Linked DNA regions of Pelodiscus sinensis. The protein of the gene in region 2 interacts with the protein of the main gene of each other region in a pairwise test. Links are inferred from orthologs where the notes say so. Each region holds a gene or a part of one and is shown on either strand. Other genes may lie near its edges.

Region 1 (8,170 bases), on a different chromosome or scaffold from region 2:
GTCTGTTGTACATATGCTCAGAAAATTTAGGACAAAATTAAAAGAAACGGCAATCCTATGTGAAGTCAGACTGTAGTAAATCTAGTGCATATGTGGAATAAATAACTACAATCTAATTGGCCAATAATAAACACATACGGGGGGCTTATATCCTGAATTTTTCACTTTGTGAAAATTCCTGTTGGACTCTACATGAAATTTTGATTGAGTAAGGAGTTCAGAATTAGGTCCTGGGTTACTTTAATGTTGCAGAATATTGTGCCTGTGCTTAACTTTAAGATCATGGTTAGTTCCATTGGAGTAGATAGGACTATTCACATGCTTAAAGTTTGGTATGGGATTCAGTACCTTGCTGGCCTGGGGCCATAAGCATTGTGAGGAGTTTGATCCAGCACATATTAAGTGGATGGGAGTTTTGCTGTTGACTCAGGTGTTGACATGATCTGGCCCTTATTTAGTGCTTTGTAGTAAGGAAAGGAATTAAAAAAGGAATTAATTACAGAAGAAAAGGGATAAAAACATAGTGAATCCTCAATGGACAGGTGCGTAAAAGCTTCATGCTCTGGTCCAGAACCAATGTGGCTTATTTATCAGCAACTGGGAATTTGCAAGTCTGGTTTTTTTTTCCAGATAGAACCAAGCTTACTTGCTAAAGAAAACACATTCCTTTTGCATTACTTTTCTATGGAAGCAACCCCTTGGCATAGACTAAAAGGCCCTGTTATATTTTAAATAGTTTCAAAAGTCAAATTTCTATAAAAAGTAAAGTCTAGAGACATGGACAATAAAACCATAACTCTTTTGAAAGTTTATAGAGAGAAGCTATTAAATACCTAATCAAACAGTTAAAAAAATTCTTCAATTTCAATGCAACCGATATTTTAAGGGAGTTTTATATATAGAGAGAGAGCTGTATTTCTTTGGGAGAACAACTAAGAGGCTCACTAATCAGGAGCTAATTAATAGGCTGGGAAGATTTAGTCAGTCTCTGGGTGAATCTAATGATTTCAACCACCTCCCCTGCTGCAGAAACCTTTATATTTGAATAGGGCCAAGGCCATTAATCACAGACTGAAGAGCCCTTCCTTCTATGGCAACAGAATTCCTAACAGTGCCTTCTGCAGTGATCAGTCTCCAACTGACTACAAATTATCAATACTGATTACCAGCTTGCTGCAACGGGGAGGGGACGGCGGGCTCAGCACTGCAGGGCTGGCTAGACTCCCACTGCCCTTGTCTGTCTGTTTGCATACAGAGCTGTCCCAGGCCTTTTCCCTAGACGTGACAACGCCAGATTAGACTGCCTTTACCCGCCCACCCCGTGCTGATTTCGCAGATCAAGCGAAGAGCACTGGTGGTTTTAAACGCAGACTTCGTGTCTGGCGCGTTCACCTTCTCTTTGGACAAGTGATGGAGAACGGAAACGGGCGTTTTGCCCCAGCGGTTCAGGAGTGAGTCCAGGGGCTTGCTTTCCAGCGGCCAGGTAAAGGCGTTTAAACCTTTGCTTTGCTTATAGGCTGGGTGGCTGCTGTTTGGCAGGGAAGCATTTTGCAACTCTGGTTTCTCAAGCATCCTCCACAGGTCTCCCCTCCCCCCGCCCTTTTCCAAAGGGCGCAGGAAGGAATTTGGTGAGACGGAGTCTGGAGAGCCTCGCAAAGAACAGGCTGGGAGCTGATGCCTTCCGCTCCTTTCTGCACCCGCTGGTCCCACCCATTTTCTCCACAAAGCCGCTCACCGCCAGCAGCGAAACAAAAGGGGGTGGGGGCGAATGTCCTGCGCGTGCCTCTTAATGTTAGCCCCCGGGCCGTGGTGATTTCCCCAGGCGGTGCACGACAGGGGAGCAGCTAAGAAACCTGGATGCTCCCCATAGTCTGGCGCTGCAGTCCTGGCTCCGAGCCTCTGCAGTCATTGGCCATCTCGCCCCTCAGCTCCCGCGGGGAGTGGGCGAGTCGGCAGAGCAGCGCGCTAGTTGGGTGGGGCTGCTGAAGCCACAGCCCGTTTGCCTGGGCGCCAGTGGGACAAAGTAAAAACCGCACCCGCTGGAAGCGAGGCCACAGCACGGGACTGAGGATGAGCAGAGAAGCTGCGGTTACCTACAGAAAATACGGTAGTTGGGTACCTCAGTTGCCCAGCGCCCTACTTTCCCGGGGCAGCCAGGAGCGAGGTTCCAGGCTTGAGGTGGCTCTTTGACAAGCAGCTGGGGGGTTGCTCTCCTAGGGGTGGAGGCCCGCAGCCTCAGCCTTGCCATCCCCTCCCCCCTGCTGTTTCCTGTCTGAGGGGATGGGAAGGCTGCCTGTGCGCTGGGCCAGGCTCCCTGGGCGTGCCCGTGCGGAGACAGCAGCAGCAGCCGTATGGGTGGGGTCTGTCTGCCTGCATTGTGCTGGGCGGCTGGAGTCCGTGGCGCTGAGCGCTGCAGGTGCCCTCTCCCCAGGAACTCCGGGAGCAGCGGTGCGCAGTGTTACACAAAGAAACCCAATGTCACCCCCTCCTTAAAACAAAGGGCGGGCCCGTTCTCTGCGAGGCGACGGGGTTATTTATTGAATTAGCAAAAGAGAAAAGTCTCCCTCTGAAGCCTGGCGCCAGGGACAGGGAGGGGTCTTCCATTTTCAGCCACGAAACGCGTCAGTTTCACTTCGCAAGGGGTTAGCTTTGAAACAATATCACACACAAGAGAGAGCTGAAATGAAGAGAGAGCCCTAGCTGGAGACCTGGCGATAAGGGGGCTTTTAAAGTAGCGCCCACACACCATATTTCAGAATAGGCAAGGTCACTTTTTGGTGTGTCACTAACTCCCCACCCCACCCTTTTATCAAATCAAATAACTCCCTTTGAAATGAGTGTTCAGCTTACTTGCCCATATCACCCAAGAGCAACCAGCCACCAGATCTCAGGCGAAGACTTCAAAAAAGCCCCCGGCTCCCAGCCCGCTCCCAGTTTTTTTTTTAAATAAAAACACAAAACAAAAAGATGTAACATTGTCTTAGCCATTAAGGCCTCTTAAGGGAGCACCCAAGACCGCTGCTGGTCCTAGGAAATAGTGGCTGATGCATTGGCTGAAGAAAAAGAGATGCGATTTCTTACCCATTGCTGTTTTAGCCATGGTGGGATGGATGCAGATTCTCAGAGGCTGTGAAGGCAAAGGGGTCCAGCTACAGCAGTGGAGAGAGAGAAGACTGAATAAGGCACTGAGTCAGCAGCGTGGGGCTGTGCAAGAGAAGGAGCAAGAGGCAGGAGCCCATGAATAATTATCACTCCTCTACTCAAGCAGATTGGCTCCAGAGGTCCCCTGACATGACTCCTGCGGAGCTAGAATCTCCAAGCATTAAATATTGATCCACCAATGGTACTGGAGTACAAAGTGCCAGAATGGAGTTTGAAATGGAAATCAGTCCTTGAATGCCTCTCCCCCCTCTCTTTAGTTTTAATAGTACAGTCCATGTCAAATGTTTTATGTCTTACATGAAAAGCCTATTGGGGTTGAAAGCTCTCCTGTTGCTACCTGGAAAATACGCACAGATGCATTTTTTTAGCGCATTTTAACACCAATATGACAAAGGGAGAAATAATTCAGAAGTTTTCTGAGCCATTTCAGCATAACTGTAGTTTTCATTAGTCTGCCTCTGGCATTACTGTACATTGGCTATTGCAGCACACACAGATGCTTGTACAGCAAATTCTTGCATTTCAGTATTTTTTATTTTATTTTTCAGACTCATCTATCGATGATACATTCAGTGGTAAAGCCTAGAGGGTGACAGTGACCCTAATTAATATGTGCAAAGTGCTCCAGAAAATGCAAAGCAGTCTCAGTGTGACAATTATTATTTCATTACCACACTGGCCACCTCTCTGAGGCACCATCAAAACAACAATGGAAATTAACCTGACTTGCTTGGCAAAAGAGTGTGGAATATGAGTGACTACTCAAACATCACCCCAAAAAGGGTTGCCTGGGGCTTGAGGCATTATAAGGTATTTATCATCTTTGGGAGAGAAAGGTTTTCCTTCATTGTCTTTAGGGGAAGGGCAGTGATTTGGCTGGAAACAAATTAAGAGAAATCTGAAAGTCATCTGAAGCTCTGGGTTGAAATATGTTGGAACCCTAATATATGTTCTAGTTGGAAGCAAGCCTCTGCCCAGGAGTAAGCAGTGTACAGAGCATAGCATGGGATGGAGGGGTGAATAGGTTATCTTATCATCCTTTACTATTGCATTTATCTAATTACTACTGGACTTCCTCTTCCAGAGAATGTATCTTCAGTTTTGCCCAGAAAAAAAAGCTTAGAGATAAGTATTACAGCACAGATAGATGTAGGCATCTGGCGCATTTCTATTTAGGGGTAACAAAGGTGGGGAGGAAGAACCATTCTAAGGCGTCTGTCTGTCTGTTTCATATGTCCATTGCCACCATAGGCTTCCAGAGCGTGCTAGGCCAAGAGTACTTTTCTCCTTCCTCCAGCTGTACCATTCTCTCTCACATTTGCCACAGCTCAGTGATCCTTGTGATCCCAGCATCGCTTTCCAGTGCGGTTGGTTGTGCCAAGAAAGGCAGCCTCCCTTATGACAGCACGCTATGGCCACCTTTCTCCTTGTCCGTCTCCATCTGCAGGGTGGCTGGTTTGTGTTAACGAGAGCAGAGGGCTGGAAGGAGGCTGGGGAGGGGAAGCCACATGCACGCGGAGAAATGCAGCCTGTAGGGTGTGGGGTGCGTGTAACCGCATCAGGGTGCGCCTATTGCAGCGTCCAGGCTCTTTGAGGTGAGCTGCCAAGAGGGCTTTAGTCTGTTGCCCGCTGGAGCTGAGCTCGTGAGGTGGCTTGCTGGGGTGAGGTGAAGAGTTTAGTTCCCAGACTGCCCCACACAGGACTACTCAGCTACACAAATGGCAGGGAAATGGCCCCGGATTCCCACGCCCCTGTGAGTGGGTTACAAGGTCCAGTCCGTTGTGGGCGGAGGAGCAGGGGGGCGGTTTGGGGAGGAGGGGACAGCTGGCGGGTGTGTGAATGAAATGGGGGATGGTACTGGGGCAAGGAGAAGCTGGGATGGATGTACCAGGGGTTGCTGCTCCTGCGGGGCAACTGCGAGGCTGGAGCTAGGGAAGGCGCCGGGCTGACCTGGGGGAACCTCCCGAAGGGACCTAGCCAGACACTCCCACTGTAGCTAAACTCCCCAGACTAGGGTAAGTCTTCTCCTTTCATCTGGGCCACCAACCAGACGTTTCGGGAAGGAGCCGGGAGCTCTCCAGGGTGCTGAAACTTCTCTGGGCCTTGCGAGGACTGAGCGATAGCTCCTCGCATCCTCCCCTCCCCCATATTGCAGGCCCAGCTGGATCCAGGGCCGTTCCGATCCGCTGCAGCAGATGAGGCGGGGGAGGAGGCGAGATGCTCCGCAGATCAATGCACTTGCTTAGCTCTCCTGCAGACGGCCCCAGCCACGCCGGGGCTGAATGCGGAGCCTGGATCCATCGGGGTTTGTTTCTGCCCCTTGTCAAGTTTATAACAAGCAAGAGCGGGGCATCCCCAGCTCACAGGCTCATTGGGGTTAGCCTGCGCCCCCTCCCCCGCCAGGGCACCCCGCCGCTCTCAGCTGTCTGGCTGCATTGCCTGGAGGGAGCCTGCCCTCTGACTAGCCCCTCAACCTCCGGGCTCCCGCAGTGCTCCCGAAGCCAGCTCCGCTCCTGGGTTGGATCAGCTTTGTCCAGCCAGGAGGGGACCGTGGCTTTGGGAAAGGGGAGCCGCGCAGAGCAGGCGGGAGGTGCTTTTGCGTCTGTCGGGGGAACTGCAGGTTAATGGCTGCTCCGAGGCTTTGCTCGCCAAGCCCCCTGCCCAGCACAGCAGCGATCTGCCGAGTGCCGCTGGCTTGGCACCGCGCAGCTCGGCCGCTGCTTTTCATTCCAGGCGGCGACGGACACACCCGTCTGCTGCCCCCGGGTCACCCCACCCCAAAGCTCTCCCCCCGGAGGAACCCATGGTCCCTCCCAGAAGGGAGAGAGGGGCCCACGCAGTGTGATTTGCAAAGGAGGGTGAGAATGGTGCAGCTGATGAGTAGCTGAGGGCGGGGCTGCTGGTGTCTTTTTTTTCTCCGGCCACCATCAGCTGAGACATAGAGAGAGAAGAGCTCAGAGCCAGCCCCTGCCTCTCCCTCCCCCATCCGCAGGGATAGATGAGGAGCCAAATCGAGGAAGCTTTTGCTCTCAGCTGCCGTTCAGGCAGATCCCTCCCTCCTCCCCCTTTCTATTTCTGAGCCAATTCATGTTGCAGAAAAGCAGCCCCCTTCCTGTATTGTCAGGCCTGGGAAGAAAAGCTGTCTCTCCCCATAGGAGGAGGGAGGCACTGGGCACTAGAGCGATTTCTTTGCCGAGAAACGTGCCCAAGAAACTACATGAAAATCGATGCCACCTCCGGCACTTGACAAAACACTTATTGCTAGGGAGTAGGGATCAGACACTCCATATATCATTTCAGATCCACAGCCCTGGTCTGGTGAGTTCAAGGGGGCTTTTAGAAGCAAATGTGGTTTCCCAGAAAAGTCAAGCTTGATCTTCTCTTTCAGGGGAACTTTATTGCCAAAGGATGGGGATGACTGAAGCTCCTGTATGATGTTGTGGTATATGTGTGTTGTTGAACTCACAGCTGCAACCTGATTTATGAATACAGTCTGAATTGATTTATGAATGCCATCCTTAATTCCCTCCAAAGGGCTGGAGAAGCATGGGGTGAAGGAGGAACTCTGGTCCTGGCTCTTCTGTGACCTTGGCAAAGTCTTTGAACCTCTTTCTTCATTTTCCCTAGCTGTCAGCAGCAATAATAATTGTGCCTCTGGGTGGGACTGAGCAGATAAATGTTTATATAGCACTTTGAAGAATACCAGTTCTAGAGAAGTGCTAAAAATGGAAGAGATTTATATTAAGTCCTTTGCCTTGCCAGTGCTGGGAACAGCACAGGTCCCAGTACAGATCTTAAGGACCCTGGTGTTCTCCTCTGTCCATTGTGAAAATGGACGCTTCATTCCTACCCTTTGTTTTCTATCTTTTAATAACAGTGAGTTGTCCTGTGGCACCTTACAGACTAACAAAAATGTATAGTATCATGAGCTTTCATGAGCAAAACCCACTTCCTCAGATGAGCTGGAAGCATCTGATGAAGTGGGGTTTGCCCACAAAAGCTCATAATGCTATATCTAATCTATCTATCTATCTATCTATCTATCTATCTATCTATCTATCTATCTATCTATCTATCTATCTATCTATCTATCTATCTATTTGTTAGTTGCTAAAGTGCTACAGGACAACTAGTTGTTTTTAAAGTTACAGATTAACATGGCTACCCCCTCTGAGACTTTTTATCTTTTAATCAGTCACAAAAAAGTTCTACTGGATGGGATGAGTGTCTTCTATAGCAAATTGTGAGCTGAGAGGCCTTAGTGGGCCATCCACACATAGCTGTCTAACTCTAATTATATATCTATCTGGGGGGGGGGGGTGTCACCCTGGCATAAAACATATGTTTGAGATACAGATACATAGCTAATATTCATAATTCCAGTTAGAAAGATAATACATGGATTTAACCAGGATAACCACACGTAGTAGATTTTATCATGTGAGGTGGCAATGGAAAAGTTATGCTTTGTATGCAAGTTGTTGCAGTTGTGTAACAATGGGTCCACATCAGTGGGAGGCAGTGCTGACTCCCGCTATTGCTCATTAAAGGGGGAATTGCAATGTCACAGTCTATAACCAAGCAATTTATAAGGCCCAGCTCTGAGTCAGGGTGGGACAGAAAGACAAAGGTTTACCAGGGGTGGTTCAATAGCAGTTTAAAGCTCTGGCTGGGTCCTAGCCGGGCAGAGGTCAGGTCTCCTAGCTGGCAGAGAGCCAACAAGTGCAGGTGTTTTGCCCCCACAGGGGGAATCTGTCAGCTGAGGCGCACCCATTCCACTGCAACCTAGCCCAGGGCCCTGACAGTGGCAACATGGCAGCCACTGGGTCAGCAGGGATTTGGACAATAACACACCAGCCAGGTCTGTGAGTCAGTAGAGATCCGAGTTGCAATGTGCTGCACACCCAACCTCCATTTCCTCAGCTGCCATGAGGTCAGCCATCCCTGGGACACTTCTCCATTCCCCTGGGGGCCTATCTGCCTTGGGCCCTGCTCCTCAGGATCATCA
Region 2 (8,344 bases):
CTGGTCTTTGGGCATGGGGAGAATGCAAGTAGAACAGTCGAGAAAGCCTGGGCTTATCAAGTAGTCAAGTATTCGACTACTCTCTTACATCCCTAGGGTGAACAGTAAGTCATTCAATACAACCAACTGAGAAACAGTGGTGGGGGCATGTTCACATCTTTGTACCCGCCATCCCGTACACATGGGTATTACTCCGAGACGGTGCACACAAGGCCTTGCATGCACCTAAAACCCAGCAATCTGCTCCTAAAGCCACAGGCCTCCCACACTTGAGCGAATGGAAATTAGTTACAACAGCCACCCTAGAGAGAAAGCCACAGCCTCTCTGCAGGCATGGCCCTTCAAGCTCAACGCTGAAACATACCCTCATCTTTATCCTGCACCTCACTAGTCAGGCTCTCAGCATTGCCATCAGCAGATGGCTCAGAGCTGCAAGTCCTGGACTGGCTTGGGGGTTCCCCAGCTTCAGGGGGTGCTGCAGCCTCAGCTAAGTCGCCTTCGTCTAGCACCAGATTGCTGTTCATTTTGGGAAGACCAGCAGGCAGCAGGGCAGCTTTGTCTTCCCCACCTTGGTCCTTCATCATGTCTCTTCTTCCCACTCCGTCTCAAACCCTGGTGAAAGAGAAACGTCACCTGGGTTTAGTTGTAACAGGATTTTAGCAGAAGTCAGCATCCTACAACATACTCATTGCTAGGTGAAATCAACAGGGATTGAAACATTCACAACTGAGAGAACAAGGTTCTTCATTGAGCCTCTCCATCCACGGCTAGTCGTAAGACTCAGATGCTGCCTCGTACTCAATAGAAGCTTTGTTAACTCCATTCTGTTGTTGGAAAGTAAACGCACCCTTCCTCCCACATCTGTAAGCTATCCCCCTCACCATAAAGGGCTCCATGTCAGGATAGCTGTTCCTCCAGGGTGGCTAGAGACAGCTTCCTTTGGAGCCAAGCCAGTAACTCCCAAACCCACATAGAGTAAATGGCTCTGTCACCTCTGTATTCTGTAGATTACAGTCTTCTGATGGACCCACCACTCCACCCTTCACTTAATGCTTTGCTCTCAGAACATTTCATTCCATAAAACACCAGGAAATGGAGTCCAGCATTAGCCTAGAAGGGCCCCTGCAGACTGACACGAGAACTTCCCTCTCTAGTGTTGAATGCATTGCTTTTACTAAGCACACAGACTCTCCTAGCCTGGGAGGGATGGACAGAAGCCAAAATCTTGACTCAGGATCCTCAAGATAGGAGAAGGGCCAGCTTCTCTTAAAACACCAGGCTAAGAGGGAAAGCATGTAGTTTCTAGGAAGAGCTGGTAGTCAGCAACAAAAAGATTTACCAATTATCTCCATGAAACAGAACTGACACACACAGGCCAAATTCCAGCTTCTTTCCATTTCACACCCTTCCAGAAATATACTCTCTTTCATTATTTTACCCATATCCCTCATTCACCACTCAGATAACAGGAAAAGCAAATGCTGCAGCAACTCTGCAGTCTCCCATTTCAGAAACAAAATACAGGACTATGTAGCACTTTAAAGACTAACAAGATGGTTTATTAGATGATGAGCGTTCGTGGGCCAGACCCACTTCCTCAGATCAAATAGTGGAAGAAAATAGTCACAACCATATATACCAAAGGATACAATTTAAAAAAAATGAACCCATATGAAAAGGACAAATCATTAACTCACAGGCATTTACCTTCCTTTCCCCCCCCCCCCCCCCGCATCCCCCCTCTGTTCTGAAATGTGATTTGTCCTTTTCATATGGGTTCATTTTTTTGATTGTATCCTTTGGTATATATGGTTGTGACTATTTTCTTCCACTATTTGATCTGAGGACGTGGGTCTGGCCCACGAAAGCTCATCATCTAATAAACCATCTTGTTAGTCTTTAAAGTGCTATATAGTCCTGTATTTTGTTTCAGCTACACCAGACTAACACGGCTACATTTCTATCCCATTTCAGAGACACTCACAATTATGAAACAAAGGCAGCGTAGCTGTCCCAGGACAATCTGGATCCCCCACAGAATTATTTGATGAAAGAAACATTTTGTCCCAAATTTGAGCATAGCTACACACAATTAAGTCTATGCTTCTTCTCAGAGAGCAACTCAGGGCACAATCAGCTTTATGAAGCCAGGGACGGAAGTTAAAAGTAACGGGGGCCAAGGCAAGCATGTCAACTATTCTTACACAGACACCAAAATGTACTAGGAATGTGAGTGGGTAACCAGTTACCTGGGAGCAGCCCCCTCCCCCCGTAACCTGTGGCCTCCCCTGCATCTGGCAGCCCCTAGCCCAGGATCCTGCTTAGTCAGATAACCGGTTAAACATTAGGTTAACCTACCATTTAATCAGTTAACTGATTAATCTAGAATTTACACCCCTAATATGTACCTCTCTCTCACATACAGGCTTAGCAGCACTGATTTCCCACATTGCGTACAGCCCCTTTGTCAGCTCATCCCTATGAATGCTCCATCTCCCTGTGGCATCCCATGAATTGTACACATCCCTACACTGCCCAATGTGTGCTCTTGTGCTCCACCCAACTCCACAGGCTCCACTGCCTCTGCATCCTCTGCAAGTGCCAGTCCCCACAGAGCTGTGCACGATTGTCCCTATCTATCTCCTAAGCTGCTAGGTACCCATGATTCCCCACATTTCCCTGCCCTCACCTGCACTCCCACAGCACCCAGCCGTACAATACCATCTGACACTACCCAGTCACACCCCCAACTGCCTCATTCACATTCATACATCCCCTGCCCTCCCAGCCTCGTTCACACCCATGTTGCTCCCCTGCCCCAATTCACACCCCATGCCGCTCCCTTCTCCCCCTGCCCCAATTCACACCCCTATGCTGCCTCTGCCCCAATTCACACCCCTATGCTGCTCCCTCCCCGGCCCCATTCACACCCCTATGCTGCCCTTCCCCAATTCACACCCTGTGCTGCCTCTGCCCCAAGTCACACCCCTATGCTGCTCCCTCCCCGGCCCCATTCACACCCCTATGCTGCTCCCTCCCCGGCCCCATTCACACCCCTATGCTGCCCTGCCCCAATTCACACCCCGTCCCGCTCCCTCCTGCCCCTCCACCTCCCCCATTCACACCCCTATGCCCCTCCCCCCACTGCAGTGACGTCACTCACGTACCGCGTGACGTCACCGCCGAGAAGCTTGACGTGGCTCTCTCGCCTCCGCCAATCCGTAGCGCCCGCCGGCCGCACTCCGGCAGAGGGGCGAGCTCCCCTGCATGCGGTCCCCGCTCCCCGCGGCTCCTCCTCAGCGCCGAGCTCTGCGAAGGGCCCAGCGGCAGCAGCCTCCAGCCCGGGCCGCTGAGCGGGTACAGAGTGCGCATGCGCCGTCATCCGCCGGCTCCGCCAACCAATCCGCGAGCGGGGCGGCGCGGGGCCTGCCGGGAAATACCGCTGAGCGGCGGCGGTCGAGGCGGGCAGCCCGGGCGACTACAGGGCCCAGCGTGCAACGCGCCAGGGGGCGACAATCCAGCTCCCGGCGTGCAACGCGAGAAGGGCAACGCGGGGGGGGGGAAGCTGTGAGGAGGGGGCCAGGGAGGCACTAGCCCGGCAGGGGGGGGGGGGGAAGCTGTGAGGAGAGGGGGGCAGGGAGGCACTAGCCCGGGGGGGGGGAGTTTGAGGGGGGGGCAGGGAGGCACTAGCCCGGCAGGGGGGGGGAAGCTGTGAGGAGAGGGGGGCAGGGAGGCACTAGCCTGGCAGGGGGGGGGGAAGCTGTGAGGGGGCCAGGGAGGCACTAGCCCGGGGGGGGAGTTTGAGGGGGGGGCAGGGAGGCACTAGCCCGGCAGGGGGGGGGGAAGCTGTGAGGAGAGGGGGGCAGGGAGGCACTAGCCCGGGGGGAGGGGGGCCAGGGAGGCACTAGCCCTGGGGGGAGGGTTTGAGGGGGGGGGGCAGGGAGGCACTAGCCTGGCGGGGGGCGGAAGCTGTGAGGGGAGCAGGGAGGCACTAGCCCGGGGGTAAGGGGGGCCAGGGAGGCACTAGCCCTGGGGGGGGGGAGAGCTGTGAGGAGAGGGGGGCAGGGAGGCAATAGCCAGGGGGGAGGGGGAAGCTGTGAGGAGGGGGGCCCAGGGAGGCACTAGCCCCAGGGGGGGAGCTGTGAGGAGAGGGGGGCAGGGAGGCAATAGCCAGGGGGGAGGGGGAAGCTGTGAGGAGGGGGGCCAGGGAGGCACTAGCCCGGGGGGGGGGGAGAGGGGGAAGCTGTTAGGAGGGGGGCCAGGGAGGCACTAGCCCCGGGGGTGGGAGCTACTATCTCCAGGGGGAGCTGTGAGGAGAGGGGCAGAGTGTAAGGGTGTGAACAGGTAACTGGTTACCAAATAGGCAATACGCGATAAGGCTGAAGCCCACTGGCTAACAGTTAACCAGTGTCCAGGAGCAGCCTCCCGCTCGCAGGTGGGCAGCTGTTCCAGGCTCATAGGCCCACTGTGTCATGGGCTAGGCCAGCAGAGTTGGCAGCCCCACGGGCTGCTCCAGCCCAGCTGAAGTGGGCCCTCACCCAGGATCCAACTCAGTCACTTAACTGGTTTAACCAAACATTTAATTGGTTAACAGATTAAATGGGATTTTACATTCCTGCCAGGGAGGCACTAGCCAGGGTTGGGGATGGTGAAAAGAAAGCTGAGAGGAGCAACAGCTACATGCATTAGCCTAACTATTGCCATGACTTTGAACCATAGTCTCTACCCCCACCCACTTTAGGGAGCAGCAGTGGTAGCTTTCTTTTGTTGACATTTTTCACAAGTAAGAGGGCTAGTCCAAGGTAGGTGGAGGATAGCAGGGGCTAGCCTGTCACCTTAGAATTTACCTACACCCCAATATAGATTCAAGTTCCCTAAGCTGCACAGCCACTAGAGGGGCAGTCTGAGTCTGGAGCAAGAGAAGGCCAGGGCTCAAGTCAAGAAACTGGCCTAGTGGAAACAGCCCAGACGTACTCCTTTGGCCTTTTATAGCCTTAGCTACTTCACAAAGTAAGTTTGAATTACTCAAGTGGCTGTTAAGGTGTTTAGGGAATAGCTGCACCTTTCCTACAAATGGGGAACTATACCATTAGTTATGGTGGAAATCATATTCCTCACCTTTTACAGGTTGAGTCTGCAATAGTAGTAGGCTGAATTGCACACTTGGATCCCCACAAACCAAAGGAACAGGTCTGGCTGCACCATACTGCTTACTCAAGCAAAAGTAAACAAGAGGATAATAGAGGGTCACATTTTGTCTGGAGGAAGTTGTGTATCATACCCTACAGTAGAAACTCACAGTTACAAATAGCTCAGGAATGGAGGTTCATAAGTCTGAACAAAACAGGGTTGTTTTTAAAGGTTTACAACTGAACTTAATACAGCTTTGAAACTGCACTTTCCAGAAGAAAAATATTTTGACTGTCTTTCAATGAAAGTAGTTTCCTTGTCAATGTTTTTTAAAACTTTTTTTGGTAGTTCATTTAATACATGTATTTGCTTCCTCTCCCTGCTGCCTGATTGTATCTTTCCAATTCCAAATGATGTGTATGGTAGGTATGTTAAAATGCATTTGTGTAAATATGTAACTGCTGTAACTTTCAGTGGTTACATGTTAACATGCAGGGGGAGCTGTGTGTAGGCAGCAGAGTTAACTGATGAGCCTGGCCCTAACTGTGTACTTGGGTACACATTCACATCTCTAGTATATGGTTGATTTGTCTGTTCATTACTGAAGTTCTACTGGGCTCAAAGAAAACTGCAGTCCCAGCACTTAGCAAATTACAGCTAACTCATGGATTAATTACTGCTGGTCTGGGTAGTCTCCAGTATGGTCAACAGTACAGTATATGCATTGTGCTGTTCTAATTAAATCTCCCTGAGAATGAATTAAGTAGTTTAAAATGTAGGTATATTGACAGGGACCTTCTTTCTCCCTTTCCACAGTGCTGCCTACCTGCCATACACAATAGTATGGGAGACAGGCTAGTTAAAGTAGCATTTAACCTCAAACTAGCCCTGCTACCACTGATTTACAGCTAGGAGCGCTTAGACCTTTAGCTGCATCTGCAGTCCCAGCTGAGTGAAAAGGACAACGTAGAATTTGAAGACCGCTTCGATTAGTACATTTTTCTCCTCTGGAGGAAAGAGTGAAATGGGCATAATAGAATGATCCCATATAGCAGTAGATGAGGCCTGGGCTGGCACAGTTCAAATTGTGCTTGCCCAGCAAAGTGGTCTTTCCCCCATGTTGAATTTACACATTTCCAAGCAATCCACCATCAAAGCTTTTGGAGAGTTTTCCTAGCATTTAGCTATGCATTTATGAACAGAATAGTGTGTCTGCTGACAGTGGCCAATACCATCTGCCCCAGAGGGAGGAATCACAACAGGTGATCTCTCTCCTGTCACCTACCTCTAGAGAAACAGAGGCTAGGGGATATTCTTACCCATCCTGGCTAATAGCCATTGATGGACCTAACCTCCATGAATGTATCTTTTTGGGACACTGTTAAAGTCCTGGTCATCACCGCATCCTCTGGCAAGTAGTTCCACACGTTGACTGTACGGTGAGAGAAGGAAAAACTTCCATTTGTTTTAAACCTATTAATTTGATGCCCCCTAGTTCTTCTATTGTAGGAATAACTTTTCCTTATTCATGTTTCCAAACCAGTTTACCAATTTATTATATTTACCAATATATTGGGTGTAAGAGCCCAGCAAATCCATGGATATCCACTGTATAACCACAGCTATTCACATTCATGGCTGTAGCACAATATGAAAACAAGTTTTGTATCTAGAACCTTGCAAATATCTGCAGCTCATTTTTGCAATGTGGATATAAATTGCGTCCATGCAGGGCTGCCGGTGTACATGCTTTAGCACTGGGATGTTCTGTTCATATGTGAGCACCCTGCTGGTATATTTCAATGCTGCTGCTAGGATCACCCAATTGACACTAAAAATAATCCAGACAGATTTGAGCACCTAGGTCAGCTTTGGAACAGACTTTTTATTTTGCATCTTGTATCTATTACAGTGTTGGCAACTTAGATACATTTTCAAGTCAATGTGTATAGATATCTTTTATCTGTACACATCACACTAAAAGCAAGTGTGTATCCTCACAAGGCCTACCAACCCAGGTACAGCTATAATGTACCTCCAAAGGGCCACACATTGGAGAAATAGCCAGGATTGTTCAGCTTTTATGAAAGAAATGTTTGGGTTTCTTTTTTTAAAGTAGGTTGAATCACTCTTGGCTGTTGATGGGACTATAGCCTGAACTCCTGTTCCCAGATTTGAACTGGATAAACAGCTGTATACTGTTCCTCCCATTTGTGCCATGCTCACTAGTGGCTGCATAACAACCCAACCATGAACTGATTAAAGCGGTGGGGTGTTAAGGACATAGTACCAGTTCCACACCAAAGGTTTGTTTCATATGAGTTAGTGCTTAAAACAGTTACTGCAGCAGAATAAGCCTTTTAATTGCCAGTCCTAAGGCCTATAAGTTTCCTTTAAAAACCCCTTAAGTTCTTAAGGTTCCTGGATTGTTCCAAGGAGGGATCCAGAGAAGATGAGGAAAATTTACAAAATACTATTCACTCTAATAGTCTTTTATCCAGTTCACTAGTCAGACCTCTAGCTACACATATCCCTTCTCATTACACTAGTCCCAGAAGGCCAGATCTTATATTTAAGACATATTTCATTTAGTTTTGGAGTTTGCATAGACCTGTGCTGGTAAAAAAAATTAAAGAGTGTACCTTTCATTTATCCTCCCATGTATTACACAGTGAAATGGCAAGCAGGAATCCAGGTTTACTACAGAACTAGATCTGCACCTCTAATGAAGGAAAGTAGGATTCAGATGGAGCTCTACCTACTTTAGGGATCTTTTCAAAGTCACCACACTACTTCTGTGTCAGACAGCTGCTGCATGTTTGAGTACAGGTGTGTATTGTGTAAAACATCAAGTACAGACTTAAACCTTAAAATGGAAAGAGGATGTCTACGTCTCAAAAATCAAGTTCACATGATACAGACAGCTTATTTGCTCTAGGTCAACTGAAGAAGCCCAAGCTCCACCCAGTAAAAGGATGAAATCTTAGGCCCTAACTGAAGTGATAAAGTATTAAAAGATTACCTTAACGTAGGGTCAAAGGAGAAGGCTATTCACTCTACTAAAGTTCTAATTTAATTCTAATGCTTTAACAGATGGAGATACTAGAAGTCTGGAATGCTTTTCCCTAAAACGGATTCCAATGAGTAATTCCAAAGGGATCATTCTGATATAAATCAGCTACCTCTCCCCCCACCATCTCCTTAACCTGGAGAT
Region 3 (8,190 bases), on a different chromosome or scaffold from region 2:
TAATCTTGAGCAAGGGAGTTAGGTTAGACATTAGAAAAGCTTTTGAACTACTGGAAGCCCGCTCCATTCCCAAGGGATACATTCTTGAGATCACTGTGAATGGGGAAATCCATAAATACTGGACTGGGACGTGTTCCACTAATTATAGGAGGAGGAATAAGAGGCATAAAGATAACTGATTTTAGTGTTCTGTTTCACACCAAGCAAGAAATAAAACATTAGAAACACACTCTGAACTTTTAAATGGGGTTGTGTAGTATCAACTTTATAGCCCTTCTGACTAAACACAGATTTTTTTGGAATGGCCATTGATTTCTCACCCATATGCTCTCTAAACATGGGTTTGAGCCCTAAAATAGGGAGCCTTAAAACAGTGCAACATTGTATCCTGGCAGGACAATGGATGTTCCAAAACCAGAGTCCTGGTAAAGGGCTGGTGGCAGCAGGGCTACCCGCCAGGACCAGGAAGCCAGCAGTAGGTGTGTGTGTCTGGGGAGGAGCGATGGAGACAGCTAAGACCACTGGCCAGGCCAGGGCTGGGGGGAGGGTCAGTGGCAGGGGGATGTGAAATGACCTCCCCATGTCTAGCAAAACCCCTCATCCTGAACCAGTCAGGTCCTGAGGGTGCCAGACCAAGGAGGTCCAACCTGTAGTGACATAAGATGCCTGACCTGTATGTGACTCAGAAGCTAGGCTTCAATTGCCCTTAAAAAGACACTTAGCCTATGTCTACACTGCCCTCTCTTGTGCAAAATATGCAAATGAGGAAAGGCGGTGAATATCACCACACCTCATTTGCATACTTAATGAGCCACCATTTTTGTGCAAAAATCCCCTCTTGAGCACGAGACAGTCTGCTGCTTTTTTTGGGAAGAACGGCTCTTGCACACAAGGGGGTTTTTGTGCAAAAAGGAGCCGTATAGACATCTCCTTTTTGTGCAAAAGCCCCATGCGCAAAATGGCAGCTCATTAAGTATGCAAATGAGGCACAGCAATATTCACCACTTCAGCTCATTTGCATATTCTCTTGCGCAAGAGAAGGCAGTGTAGGCATTGCCTGAACGTTTGTAATGGACTTTCATTTATTTATAACAAAATTAAAGTTTAGAAAGTTTGTTTAGGCACATCACTAATGGTCACTACCTTTCACAAAAACAGTGTTGGTTTTTTTTGTTTGTTTTTAAAATATCACCAAGGCAGTCCCTAGTAGGGTGTGGGGGCCCGGAAAAAATCAGCCTATTTCTAATCTGCTGGGGGGAGGGGAGGGAAGAGGGATGCTCCTTCTGACTCTGCCCAGGTCTTGCCCTGACTCCATTCCTTCCCCAGTGCCCCACCTCCACCCTGCCTCTTCCTAACCAGTTTTGCCCCCTCTCCCTTGCACCTCCTGACAACCTGAAACAGCTGATTCCTGGCAGGCAGTAGGTGCTGCAAGGGGCCTGGCAGTAGGGGGCAGGAAGAAGAGGCATTGACAGGGACTAGCCAAACACCCAACACTTTTTTTCTTCCTCTGAGTGCCTTAGGTTAAGAGCACCCACAGAGTTGGTGCCTATGTCTGCTATTGCCAGAGATTAAGCCTGAGCACTGCACAACATTCACACACAAAGGGCAGGAGTAGTTGTCTCAACTTGCCATACCCAAGGGACAGACCTAACTATCACACAGAAGTACACTGGAAACCAAATGCAAAGGAGCAGAGAGAACAGAAATGGTCTGATTTTGCCAGCTTGGGAGGAACTGCTTCAGCTCACAGATTTTAGCTGGGAATGAGCTCAGAGCAATGACACAAGACACTTTGAAGTTGTGCTCCCCAAACACTCTGACAGCCATTATAGCAGTAGTTCTCAAACTTTTTGGCCCACTGCCCACCCCTCTCAATGCAAACCTTTCTGTGGACCACTAGCCAACTACCCATGATACAAAATGGGTGCAGAAGGGGGTGGGAAGTATGAGGTCTGGGCAGGAGAGAGGGGCAGGAGTGGCCTGGGCTAGGGGCAGGGGTCTGGGCTAGAATGTAACAGTGTAGTCAATTAACTGATAAGCAAAAGCTTATAGGTTAACGCTATAGACTACACGCATTTCCCTCCCCTCCCAACCAGTAAATCTTTTAGCAGGTTGACCAGCAGCCCAGCTCAGTTCTGGCTCACACCGGGTCTGTGACTGACCACTGCTGTGGCTCTCCATTTAAAGTGTAGTAGGAGCCAGGAAGACAGGCAGCCCAACTCAGTTCTGGTTCGTGCTGGGTCTGGGAGCTCAGACCGCCCCCTGCACTTTTGTCTCTTTATCAGAGGCAGCAGCACAGGGCTACAAGCCGCCAGTCCACAAGCAGAACTGGTTTTTAAACTGGCTCCCCTCACGGATAGTCCTGCCTGGCACTCTGCACAGCTTCTGGTCCCGCCCCAGCGACTATAGAATAGTTGACCAAGCAAGAAGAATTCATGAGGTTATTCAACTAACTGATATTTAACATCCCTAGTCTGGGCAATGAAGGGGGTGGCGGGGCCACTTCCATGGCTCTATGCTTCCTACTGTTCTCAGGCACTGCCCCCGCTACTCCTATTTTTGGCCAGGATTCCGGCCAATGGGAGCAGTAGGGAAAGCCTCCAGGCAAGCTATTTCCAATGTTGCCATTCCCCCAGCAAGAGAGAGGGGGAGTGGCAGTGCACAAAGCAACTTCGTACCCATGTGCGCCAGATCCAGCCTAGGCGGCTCAGGGCACTCCCCTCTCCCACCCTCCCCGCGGCAGGGAGCCAGCGCTGTCACTCCAACCTCACAGGGGAGGGAAGGTGCGCGCGGCTGCAGCACCAGGGAGAGGGCCGGGAAGGAGGGAAGCGCTGAGGCCGCGGCCCACCTGCACCACCACGCGCCGGCGACTTGCCCCAGCGTTCCATGAGCGGCCCACGCGCCAGCGGCGGCGATTTCCAACTGGAGACACACGAGCTCGGGGCCAGCGTGACGTCACTGGCGAGGGGCGCGAGACGGCTGCGCGGCCACAAAACACCGCAGCGCAGCTCCCCGACCCAGGCTCTGGCTTCACAAGCGAGGATCGAGCCGCAACTGTCCCCCCCCCCCCCGCCGCGGGGAGCGAGAGAAGAGAAACCGCCATCGAGCCGCGTCACACAGCCCCGGAACGCTCTGCTGGGGGGCGGGGCTACCCCGCGGGGGCCACAGGCGAGGCAGAGGGGAGCAGCCCCAGGGGCAGGGTCTCTTCCAACCCCCGCGCCTGGGGGGGGGGGGGAAGAGGGAGCGACTGGCCCCCCCCCTGCCTGGGGGTGGGGAGGCCGCACCTTGGTCAGGTCGATGCCGGAGCCCACGAGGGGCAGCCCGTCCTCGTCCATCCCCCGCGGCCAGTCAGGGAGGCGCGGCGGGAAAACGCGGAACGAAGTCACCACTGCCCGCCCCGCCCGGAAGCCGCCAGCACTCCGAGCCGAGATTAACCTCTCCCCCCGGATACAAAACCCGCTCGGCTGGGCAGGTCCGGAGACTGGTAGACTAGCCTATTGTCCCGGCGCCTGCGCACACGCTACCGGAGACTGCGGAAACGCCCTTCCCCCTTCATCCCCCCCCCCATTGCATCATGGGAATTGTAGGCGGGAGGGGCAGCGGCTGGCTCTGACTCTTAAAGTGGGCTTCAGCGTTCTCTCCCGCCACGTGCCTGCTACGCTTTTCCCTTTAGTGCCATCTTGCGGCGCCCACTGCCTGCGGGGCGGTCACACGCTCGCTCCCCAGAGGTTGCGCGCCACACTTCCAGGTTTGGATTTTTTAACCCTTGTCTATTCCAGGAGACACGCTGGATTTCTTCAGCATTAATCCACAATGTGTACTGCTGACGCAGCTCCGCAGCCCTGCCAGGCTGTTCTGACGCTCCCACTGAATAACTTCTTAATAGTCATAGCATCACATTTAAGAGCACGAGTTAAATAAATAAAACCCCATGAGCCATAACTCCAGCTGCACAAATGCCATGAAATTACAAGGGAGGGACCTACACAGTAGGCTTTTTATGTGAAGGGGAGTGAGGAAAGGCGCACAGGCCCCAGTTCAGAGATCCATCCCTATTCAGCAAAGTGCTTCCATACATGGTGAATTTTAGGCTCATGTTTAAATCCCACTCACCTCAACAGGATGCATTCAGCATTTACAGGTGCCAAGTCCTGGAGCATTCATAGTCATTTTTAAATATACATGGAGTACCTAACACAAAGAGGTAGCTCAATATATTTGACAAATATAGCCGGGGCTGGTTGCATGTCTCCTGGCTGGGGCAGGACTAGGTTTATCTGCCCCCTGTGCTCCCCAGCCAGAGGGAGGAATGCAGCAAATTGTACTTTCCCCTTACTCCCTTATGAAGGGGAACAGCCAGCAATGTTCCCATTAGGGATGTTAAATATTGGTTAATTCAATAGTCGATTAATCTCATGAATTCTTGTCGGTTAGTCGACTATTCTATAGTCCCTGGGTGTGGGGCTGGAAGCTAATGTGCCTCCTCCCCACCCACAAGGATCCCTCTGCCACTCCATACTGCTGCCTCTGTATCAGTGGCAGCAGCGTGGGGTGCCAGGTGAGATCTGGTCCACAAGGAGAGAGTTTAAAAAACCAGTTCCCCTTGTGGAACGGCTGCCTGTTGCCCCGTGCTACTGCCTCTGATACAGAAGCAGCAGCGCAGGGTGGCAGCAGCTTTGTCCAGGGGAGGGGCTGAGCTTCTGGACCTGGCATGAACTAGAACTGAACCAGGCTACCTGCCCACCTGGCTCCTAATACACATCTAATGCAAAGCTGCAGCAGGGTAGGTCCTGGACTAGGCACAAGCTAGGACTGAGCTGGGCTGCTGGCCAGCCTGCTAAAAAATTTACCTGCAGAGGGTAGGGGAGGAATGCATGGGGGGAGAGGGGGAGGCTTTAGCCACCCCTCCAAAGGATGCCCTGAGGAGTGGGAGGCTCAGGGCTGGGGCAGTCCCAGAGGAGCGGGGTGCACTCCCAGTCAGCTCCTTTCACCTGTCTGGTGATTGTTTGTTTTCTGTATGGTTTTATGAGAATCAATCTCATTCCAGGCACATCCAAACACTTACCTTGCTGTAAGTTAGGATAAGAGGAAGCTGTATACTGAATTTGGTGGTCTTATCTCTTACCATTCAGGAGCAGTTCTTGAAGACAGACAGACAGAGATGAATAGACAGACAGACAGACAAACTCTCAAATATACAGTAGTCACCCAGTATCTATATTTATCAAATATATTGAGCTACCTTTGTGTTATGTATCTAATGTATCTTTCAAAGGTGACTATGAATACTCAAGGGTTTAGCACCTCTAAATGCTGGGTGCTTAAAATGGTGGATATGAAAAAAATTGACTCATTTTTCCCCATAGAGCTTCTGCATAACTAGAGTAAAGAGGGTTCAGGTAAGTCCTGAAAAGCAGTGACTTTGTAAAGAATTTAGATACTCCATCCAGCTGAACATGAGCTCCCAATGAAATGCTCTCTCTAACATAAACCATCAGTATTTGAACAAGGAAGTAATGAGTCTCAGTCTGTGTCTACACTGGCGCGATCTCGCACAAAAGCGGCCACTCTTGCGTAAAAACTTGTTGCCTGTCTACACTGGCCGCATGTTCTTGTACAAGTAAACTGACATTCTAATGTATGAAATCAGGGCTTCTTGCACCAGAACTCTGATGCTCCCGCTCAGGAATAAGCCCTTTTGCACAACTGTTCTTGCGCAAGAGGCCAGTGTAGACAGGCAACATGAATTTCTTGCGCAAGAAAGCCCGATGGCTAAAATGGCCATCAGAGCTTTCTTGCGCAAGAGAGCGTTTACATCTCTTGTGCAAAAGCACGTCAGTGTAGACTCTCTCTTCTGGAAGAGTTTTTGCACAAGAACTCTTCCGTAAAAGAGTTTTTGCGTGAGAACGCGCCAGTGTAGACGTAGCCTCAGAGGGGTAACTGTGTTGTTTTTACAATTACAGACTAGTGAGCATTCCTGTGGCACCTTAGAGACTAACGAATTTATTAGGTCAGATAAATTGGAGATGAAATTACAGAATTTGAGGTATATATAACAGCAAAAGAAGTTACCTGTCAATTGTAGGACCAGTGTTAACTAAACTAATTAAGTGAAGGTGGATGTGTTTAATTCACAGCATTTGATGTGTAGATGCAAATATCAAAAGTGGGGAAAATGCCTTTGTAGCGTGTTAACCAGTTAAGATCTTTATTGAAGCATAAGTTGGTAGCATTGAACTTGTAAATGAATTCCAGTTCAGCAGTCTCCCTCTGTAATCAGGTGATAAAATTCTTTTGTATAAGGATGGCTACTTTAAAATCCATTATTGAATACCCAAAGAAGTTAAAATGTTTTCTTACAGGTTTATGTGTATTACCATTCCTGATGTCTGATTTGTGTCTATTTATCCGTTGGTGCAGAGACTGTCTGGTTTGACCAATATACATGACAGAGTCATTGCTGGCATATATCACATTAGTTAATATGCAGGTGTATGAGCCCCCAAAGCTGTGGCTTACATGGTTAGATCCTGTAATGGTGTCATTTGTATAGATATGTGGACAGTTGGCAGCACAGTGGTGCTGAGGCAGCCTCCCTGCCTGCCCTTGCTCAGTGCATCTCCAGGAAACAGCCAGCATGTCCAGCACTGCCTTTGCCCCTGAACGTTGGCTCCATAGCTCTTATTGACAATGAACCATGGCCAATGGGAGCTGTGGGGGTGGTGCCTCCTCACTCCTCTGCCTAGGATCCAGAACAACATTTTGGCACTTCTGGGAACCACCTGAAGTATGTATCACCCAGCCAGAGCCTCACCCCAAACTTCTTCCCACATCCTAGCTCCCTTTCAGAGCTATCATCCTCATCTGCACCTTAAACCCCTCATTCCTGGCCCCTACCCCAGAGCCTGCGCCCCTAGATGGAGACTTCATCCCTTCCCATTCCTCAATCCCCTGCCCTAACCCAGAGCTTGCTCCTGCATCCTGAACCCTCCATTTCTGCCACACACATTCTCTCCCCCCCACCCCCCACCTGTATCCTCACCCAGAGCCGTCCCTCCCAACTCAGCCCTCTGCCTCAGCCAGGTGAGAGTGAGTGTGGGTGAGGGAGAATTAATGATGGAGGGAGGGGGATGGAACAAGTAAGAGGTGGGGCCTCAGAGAAGAGTCAGGATTTCAGAGAAGGGGCAAGGGACAAGGCAAGGGTTTGCATTTAGAAAGTTTGCAAACCTAGCAGGAATACAAAATTTGGGGAAACTTAACCTTCCCCAATTTCCATTACATGTCACCTATGTCCTAGATATTTCAATTTGAGAACTTAAAAGGAATGGACACGTAGCAATTTCAACCTTCCCAGATCCCTAGCTGTATAAGAGGGAGAATACCATCTTACTTCAGAATGGGGTTGTGAAGCTATATTGGTTAATATTCGTGAAACAGAAACTAAAGTGATGAACACTATAGAGCAGTGTTTCATAAACTTTTTAAGACTGAGGAACAAAATTTTTTTTATGAGGAACACCAAGGATTTTTTTGTTGAGCAAAAAAAAAGTCCAGGGGAAAGTTATTGAGCAAATAACTCCAGAACACAGTTTAAGAGCATATTATTAATTTTTTAGTTAGGGCAGGCTTTGGGTAGACTGTGTGTAACAAGGCCTGTGTCCACATATTGAATGTGGAGAAAAAGAAATATCAAATAGCTTACCTTTTACTGAATATGGCAGGGATGTCATGAAAAAAATAGTATGTGATTGTATAAATAGTGTTACAAAATATGTACTCACAAGGGAGGCACACTGAGGTTGCACACAATCTGAGTTCTGGCATTCTGAACTTTTGAGTGTTTTATTTCTGCAAACTTAATATTCTTCTAACAAGGTATTATTTATGTGATCATGTGTATAAGCTGTAATGCCAGATTCATTCAAATGTTAACAGCTGGATTCCTTAATATTTTATCCCCTGTGAAATTTTAAAAAGGTAGTAAAAGCTGTATATCTAATATTCTCACAGATGTTTTCAGAACTTTGGAAATGCATCTTTGGTGTCGTTCAGCACCATTGTGTTTGTGTAGAGGCCTTTGGCTCGATGCAGGAATGTACAATATGTTGTTTTCCCAAGTGTTCAAAAAGAAATAGCTCATTCCTTTGTGTGCATATTTGTTTATGTTCGAGATAAGAAAAGAATAGAGCT

Evidence for each region. The genes of interacting proteins can lie anywhere in the genome.
Region 1: the proteins of TXLNA (region 2) and STMN2 interact in binary tests that used the Homo sapiens proteins (3 or more experiments, as listed by UniProt). The two-hybrid records come from large-scale screens. The link is inferred for Pelodiscus sinensis from reciprocal best matches to the Homo sapiens genes TXLNA and STMN2.
Region 3: the proteins of TXLNA (region 2) and WASHC3 interact in binary tests that used the Homo sapiens proteins (3 or more experiments, as listed by UniProt). The two-hybrid records come from large-scale screens. The link is inferred for Pelodiscus sinensis from reciprocal best matches to the Homo sapiens genes TXLNA and WASHC3.

The regions. Positions count from the first base shown.
Region 1 is NC_134712.1:49,858,288-49,866,457, forward strand, and holds the start of STMN2 (stathmin-2), read right to left. Parts: upstream 3,252-8,170; 5' UTR 3,101-3,251; coding exon 3,082-3,100; intron 1-3,081. UniProt on the Homo sapiens protein: Regulator of microtubule stability. When phosphorylated by MAPK8, stabilizes microtubules and consequently controls neurite length in cortical neurons.
Region 2 is NC_134735.1:3,556,027-3,564,370, reverse strand, and holds the start of TXLNA (alpha-taxilin), read right to left. Parts: upstream 3,328-8,344; 5' UTR 3,168-3,327; intron 613-3,167; 5' UTR 585-612; coding exon 365-584; intron 1-364. UniProt on the Homo sapiens protein: May be involved in intracellular vesicle traffic and potentially in calcium-dependent exocytosis in neuroendocrine cells.
Region 3 is NC_134711.1:99,544,983-99,553,172, reverse strand, and holds the start of WASHC3 (WASH complex subunit 3), read right to left. Parts: upstream 3,252-8,190; 5' UTR 3,104-3,251; coding exon 2,849-3,103; intron 1-2,848. UniProt on the Homo sapiens protein: Acts as a component of the WASH core complex that functions as a nucleation-promoting factor (NPF) at the surface of endosomes, where it recruits and activates the Arp2/3 complex to induce actin polymerization, playing a key role in the fission of tubules that serve as transport intermediates during endosome sorting.